Linked DNA regions of Oryzias latipes. The protein of the gene in region 1 binds, or shares a complex with, the protein of each later gene. Links are inferred from orthologs where the notes say so. Each region holds a gene or a part of one and is shown on either strand. Other genes may lie near its edges.

Region 1 (3,825 bases):
CTTTGCGCAGCGTCTTCCATCAGCTGCTCTATGCCATACTGATGATGAATAAAGAGAGTCGAGGGAAACCGGTCCTCCGTGTTCTCAGTCGGAGTGTTTTGGCAATCAGGGATTATGCCATTCAGTTTGTAAGGTGAGAGGTTTGAATTTTTGCTTTGTCTTTGCTTTTAGTATGGTTGGTGTGTGCGCGTGTGACTGGTGGGTAGGACATGGGGTTCCTGGAATAGTTGCAGTAGTATTGGAATTGTTTTATTTACCAAGTGTTTCTTAAATGTTAGAGTAAAATAAATCTATTTAAAGTGATGTCATCTGATGTCCATTAGTTATACTCTTGTTTTTTTACATTCAAGCAACAGTCCTGTAAATCTGAACCTTCATTCTGAAATATATTCCTATGACCACTAGAGGGCAGCGTCTCAATGAAAAAACGTCAGTTTTCTTAAGGAAATTCTTTCAGATGTGAAACATTTTTTACACCAGATCTTTACCACAATCAACTCAACAGCTCAATTGAAACCCTAAACTATTAGACACAGTTTGACTTCATTATTTTTATCTCCTAGAATGCATTTTTCCCTTCCTCCTTGGCAATGTTTTATTTTCCTTCTCTCACGCTTTCTTTCTAGGCCATTGACTGTATAAGAGAACTGGACTGAGTGACCCCCCCCCCCCTCCCCCTAGCATTCCAAACAGGAAGTACCTGCTGGCTTCAAGAAACCAAAATCCCATAGACTTCTATAGAGAAATAAACTGCTTTTACTCCGGTTATTCTAACTTTCTTGGTCTGATACTTTTTTTAAGCATATTTTTGGATTTTTTGTTTTCTGTTTTGCAAGTCTGAATGAGTATAAACTGACCAGTCAGATACTTCAATAAAAGTAAGTTGACAGATTCTCCCGCTTTCACGTGGTAGGGGTGTGGCCCTCCAACAAGTTCACTCCTGATTGGAGAGGGTGGTCACCATAGAACACGGACTCAGTCCGACTTGGATGTTGTCTGGTTCCAATGAGGTGGCATCCAAGAAATGGCAAATGAATTGACTTGGTTTGGTTGGAGCCAGAAGTAAACCATTTTCAATGAGTGACGTCACACTAGTTTCAGTCCAGTTCTCACATATAGTCAGTGTGCTAGCCTAATGCTCATCTGTTTATTTATACCCGTATCTATGCATCCATTCCCTCTATCTGTTTCTCCTGTTTTCATAGCTCTTTTGTATTTTCCATCCATCTTCTATATGCACCGTTCAGGGTCACAGGGATGCTGGAGCCTTTCCACATCTCCTGAAAGGTGCAGCTGGACTTCATCTTAGGCCATTTATTAGTCCATCACACACAGACAACAGACAATTTAGAGGCATCAACAAACCTATGAAGTGTGCTTTTGCAGCGCCACCAAAGTTAGCAGCGTGTGTGCGCTTCCTTTCTATTATTTCTACAGGATGTCTTTGACGTTTGAACTGTTGAATGTGATTCCAGTCATTTGGTGGAGGAGCAGAGGGAGCTGGCGAAACCTTTCCTGGAGATTCTGCTGCAGCACATCTGCTTCCAGGTCAGTCATGAAGACGTTGGATCAGCTGAGCTGGCAACAGCTCTTTTCACAGGATTCTGCTGTGTCGGCATGTAGATGGTGGAGAAAAGCGAGTACCGAAGCCACGGAGCCCAGGCTGTGGGAATGCTGACATCTCAGATGGAAAATGCAGATTACAGCCGCTTCATTAAATGGCTGTTTAATTTCTCCAGACAACCAAAGGTAAGTGTACAAATGGCTAAATATTATGACATATTTCTGCTCCATGCAGGAAAACTTTGGTCTCTAGCATTTCTGTATTTACAGCACTGTTTTATTATTTTAAATGAAGTTCAGGAAAGACTTCATGATGTAGTGTCCTGCTATTTCACATTGACAGTTGGAACTCAATAGTCATAATATGTTTTTGCAAAGGGGCCTTTTATTTTTACTAGATGGAAAACAGCTGATTTTTAAGGTGATCTTTGGGGGCTGACACTTAAAAAGAATTTAAACCTTTCCAGAAGATTTTAGGACTGACAGGAACTATTTCTGAGTGTTTCTTTAATCAAGTTGTTGTGAATCGGGAGCAGATGAAAAATATCATATTTGTGACGTACAAAATACGCTGAGTGGGTCACAGCTCCCAGCTCCTCTCTATTCTGATGCATCCCCTGGTGAATTGATGTAAACAGAGAGCTCTCAGCAATGGGGAGGGGAAGGGGTGTACAGTTTCTCCATGCCATTGGTCCCACCCAAAACTCGGAGGTGAATTTCTTGTGAACTACTGCTGCACTGCAGTAACTGTCCTAGAAAACACAGGTTTTTTTTTATTTGTGCTAAAAACGGCATAATCAGAATTCAAAGCCCACTGGGAATGATCTTCAGAAGATGATGGAGTGAGACTTTTCTTAGTCTGGTCTCATCACCAGCTGCCGCTAGAACCTCAGTGCTGACTTGTTGCCCTGCTGTCGGCAGATGGTCCATCGACTGTTCTCCGTGGACGTGGTCATGGCTTTGCTGGAGCAGACAGAGAGGCGGCTGGAGGAATCTCAGGATCCGGAGCTTGCCATCTTTCTGCCACAGAGGTTTTTGATCCAGGATCTGCTGTTTGCTCGAAGGATGGATGATTCTCCCACCGTCCAAGGCCACGCCCTTTCTTGCCTGGCTCAGTGTTTGGAGCTGCCCTCCCTCAATGTCACCAGGGCCGTCCACAACCTCTTCTCTGGCAGTAAGAGCATACTTACAAGCTTATAACCATGGGCATAAACTAGAATAACATCATTTGATGCTTTCAATACAAAAATAATTTAACAGTGACTCATCCTCGTAGAATTAAATCTAGATAAAAATGTTCAAATAAATGGAGGCAAAGTATTGAGTATGAATATAATAAATATTTTTTCATGAATTTTATTGAACTGTTCCCTGAAACTGACGTAAGACAATAAAATTAGGGGTGTGTATTGGCGATACGATACGTAACCCGATGTTGAACAGGGAAAAACCCCCCACCAGATAGCTTTATACGATACTGGCAGCAACGTGGCAGTGAGTTTCGTGACAAGACGAGCCCTGTGCTTTTATTTTGACACGCTTAACAGTTGACATCGCACAGGTCTCATCATCCTCTCCCTTTCCCACACTCTCATGGCGCAAAAAACAAGTACTGTCAATTAAATATAGCTTTCTTTTTTAAAAGTGGAAGGCTCCTCTTCCGTCTCCTGGCTGGGCCTTTTCCCCTCGGCAAAGAAACTTTCCAGAGACGTTTGTTTTTTTACTAATTTTACTAGCTGCTGGGTTTTATTTTACCAGTAACTTATACTTATCACGTGACCGAGAATAGCGCCTTGGAATGCGTCAAAAATGACATGGACTGATGTAACAGTAATGCAAGTTATTTATTCTTTCTGTGTGGCCCGGTACCAAATGACTCACGGACCGGTACTGGTCCGCGGCCCGGGGGTTGGGGACCACTGTTGTAGAGGGCAAATAAACTATTATAATAAACTTTAATAATAATAAACTTTATTTGTACAGTTCCTTTCAAAATAAAAATCACATAGTGCTTCACAGTAAAACACGGTTATTACGATATATTGGCGAAACTATTTTTTCCAACACCCCTAAATAAAATGATTTATTGAAGGATATTTAAACATTTGGAGTTTGTTTAGTATTCATCAACACTACAAAATCTTATACCTAATGCTATTCAACCTGTAAGGCAGACTTGGGCGCCTTTTCAATGCTTTTTTTCATGTGGTTTTCCATATGTTTGTGGTTTGTTGTACAGAGTACTTGGACAAACTTAAATAA
Region 2 (3,072 bases), on another chromosome or scaffold:
GCTTTTCCTTAATTTTATACACAGCTGGACAATATTTAGAAGGGATTTTAGTGTTGATCTTTTCCAGATTAATGCAGAAAATGTAGCCTGTTTGCCAAGAATCAAGTGTTTTTATCTGTCAAGCGGAGAAAATGTCTCACAACGAGATATGAGGCTGTGTTTGTGTCACTCAGGGGTGTGGTCTTAGCTCGCATAAGCAAATGTGTCATGTGTGCGTACGAGCAGCCATGTCTTTCCCCTCAGAATCACACCAGCGGGAGGCCTATCGCTTTAATAAACGCCTGTTCGCTTTCCGTCTACGACAGTCGGAGGCTTTTGCAATCCGTGCAGCTCCAGTTTTTTTTTTCTCCTTTTCATAAAGAAAGAGTGAAATGCGGATAAACGCCGGCGCATTTTAGCAAGGTTATTTATGCAGATTATTGTCAAACCCTGTGATGTGATTTCCCAGCAGGCAGATTCAATCAAATGCTTTTGTTCCTACAACTTCTGGCTTCTTCCTTTCAGAGCAGCACATTTCCCCTGCAGATAAAAACAGTTTTTAGTACAGAATTTTGTCTTTTTAACCTCCTCCTTCCACATCTTGCAGTTCTGCTGAGTGAATTTTGTCTCGTTCTGCTTCTGTCCCCACTCACCATGTACAAAACTCTCCGTTTTATTTCTTATTCTTTGCCATTTCTTAGTTCACTGTTTCTCCAGTCTGACTGATATCAAAAGTGTTTCTAACGTCTAACATTTGTACATTTTTTCCAGAGCTTCTTAACCGTGTGTTGTGATGTTATTCTTGTGGATTTGGGCGATGAGAAGTTCTACAGTGAAATCCTCCACCTGTGCTCAGTCCTCCTCCTCTCAGGTGAGGGTTTTAAAAGTGCCTGTTCGGGGTCAGAACTCTTCCATATAATCTGGTGAACCGTTGTGCTTTGATGAAAATGGGAAAAAAGAAAAACCTCTTTCCACGCGTGCAGAGGGAGGCTATCGATGCATCCCTGCTGTGCTGCTGATTCTAAAGGAGGTGGCAAACAGTAAAGTACCCGAGGACAACAACCAGAATCAGGAGAGCAAGGAGGATCCAACTGCTGTCATTCTGGGGGTGGTGGCCAATATTTTCCAGAAGATAATCGAGGTTTTGGCAAAGAGGCTTCGAAAGGATCCAGAGGGGGGAAAACAGGCATGTTGTCCTCTTTACTCTCTTTTGTGAAGGCGTTACATTTCTTTGAGGTTGCTGTTCTTCGTGTCTCCTGGTTCAGCTGTGTCTGTCAGTCGTCGCGGGTATGAGAGACTTCCTCCAAGTGGCACAAACCTGGGACAGAGAACCTCTCAGTGGAGTCCTCTCTACCATTTTTGCCATCATCATTGTGGAGAAGAGACGTGTTCTCCAAAAGGTTTGAGATGACTCGGCTAAAATAAAAAAGTGTAATTGAAGTTAATGAGAGAAATGCCTCTTCTAAGCTTTTAGTATTTGGATTTTTATCAGATTGCTCATCCAGAGGAAGTGATCGCCCCACAGTCAGTAGATGAGATGCCTCCTTTGTCCAGCACATTGCTGTCGGTCATTCTGAAGTCACCACAGATTACAAAGTATGGCCTTAAAAGTATTTTAAAACATTCATGAAAAACATGTCATAGATGCTGAAATGCTTTCTTTCTTCTCTTAGGTCATTTCTGACAGAGGTGGGCTCATCTTTGGACTCTGAAGCCATAAGCAGCCTCTCTGAGCTGGCTGCCGTTCTGCGTGTTTTAGCAGTTATCAAGGGGGGTGGGTTGAGTCACCAGAATATTTATTTTAAAATCAAGCTCATGTTAAAGAAAATCTATATAAATATATGTATAAATGTTGTGTTTGTCCATCTTTAGCCAAAGGTTCTGAAGCTGGGCTGAAGAGTGCAGCGGTATCCATCCAGCAGCAGATCCACAAATACGCCATCTCTGATGAAGACGATGGAGAAATCCAGAGGTGAGAAACAGGAAAAAAGCATCTTTTTCGTACTGGTAATTCTTCATTTGACTAATTTCACTCCCTTTGTTGCTTCAGGGCCATCTATGAATCTTCAGTGAAGACTTTGAATGAGATCCTGCATTTATAACATCAATTTGTTGCCATGGTGAACAGGAAGCTATTTCCTCATTTTTCATATTTGTGTCGTAATTAGAAGCAAAGAAATCACAATATTGGATGAACTTGACGGAAAACAAGCATATAATGTTCCAGTTTCTCTAAATGGATTTTTAAATATATACTAAAGCTTTTGTATTTCCTTCTTTTCTCTGTTTACTTCCCTCCTCACAGTGCGCATGTCTTATTTTGTCAAAGCAAAAAGCTTTGACAATGTTTAAAAACATGGTGACTTAAATGAACAGAATTGTTGTCTGTTTTTTTCCACGATCCTAATTTACATGTTTTCTTGTAAATCAAAACATCACTGCATGTTTTTATATCTAGTTTTTAATCATTACAAACTATAAATCAATATAAGTAAGATGTGTCTGTTGGGTAACTATCACAGCTTTCACCCCTATAGAGGAATATTTTTTATCTCATTATGCAAAAATGCTTATATGAACTACATGATTCAAATTTTATAGATTATTTAGGTTTGTTTGAGTGTTTTGGAGGTCAAAGCTTAGAAATATGTTCTAAATTATATTTTATTTTCCATAAATGGTGTATTCAATTTTCAGGTGCTGATAGTGCACATCTCTGTTCAGTAAATAAAGCAAACTCACAACACCATTGTCATGCCTGTAACAAGTATAGTAATCAGGTGTTTTTTTTTAGGTTTCTTTTGGCGTGGTGCGTTCACGCCTCCCGGTAAAAACCATTCAGAGCGCTCTCCTCATCTCATGTGTCTGTTTGACGTCAGTAACCTGGGCGGGGCTCCTCTGTGAGGCTGGTTGCTGTTTGTGGTGCTGAAACAACGTCGGTGTTGTTACCCCTCAACATACCTTTAAAAAAATGCCAATTTAAGACCCCCCAGACCGAGCAGCAGACCCCCGCGTGCGTCCAAACATGCCGTTTTAGCGAGCCATGGATTCGGGTTCGGCTTCTTGAGCAGGAGCGGCATGGATTCGCGGTGG

What was found.
Region 2: the proteins of ncapd3 (region 1) and ncapg2 are in contact, whole or in part, in a cryo-EM structure (PDB 9F5W), measured with the Homo sapiens proteins. The link is inferred for Oryzias latipes from reciprocal best matches to the Homo sapiens genes NCAPD3 and NCAPG2. Residues at the interface, in NP_056076.1 of Homo sapiens: Glu1213, Lys1216, Ile1217, Pro1218, Leu1220, Gln1247, Ser1250, Glu1251, Tyr1254, Lys1258; in NP_001268861.1 of Homo sapiens: Phe291, Lys332, Pro333, Ile334, Trp336, Lys340, Ala341, Arg342, Arg347.

What each region holds. Positions count from the first base shown.
Region 1 is NC_019873.2:3,921,781-3,925,605, forward strand, and holds part of ncapd3 (condensin-2 complex subunit D3), read left to right. Parts: coding exon 1-133; intron 134-1,475; coding exon 1,476-1,548; intron 1,549-1,623; coding exon 1,624-1,749; intron 1,750-2,484; coding exon 2,485-2,737; intron 2,738-3,825.
Region 2 is NC_019878.2:19,845,854-19,848,925, reverse strand, and holds the end of ncapg2 (condensin-2 complex subunit G2), read left to right. Parts: intron 1-750; coding exon 751-850; intron 851-962; coding exon 963-1,165; intron 1,166-1,244; coding exon 1,245-1,379; intron 1,380-1,471; coding exon 1,472-1,575; intron 1,576-1,652; coding exon 1,653-1,753; intron 1,754-1,851; coding exon 1,852-1,951; intron 1,952-2,029; coding exon 2,030-2,081; 3' UTR 2,082-2,349; downstream 2,350-3,072. Other genes in the region: ptprn2 (receptor-type tyrosine-protein phosphatase N2), read left to right, coding at 3,058-3,072. UniProt on the Homo sapiens protein: Regulatory subunit of the condensin-2 complex, a complex which establishes mitotic chromosome architecture and is involved in physical rigidity of the chromatid axis.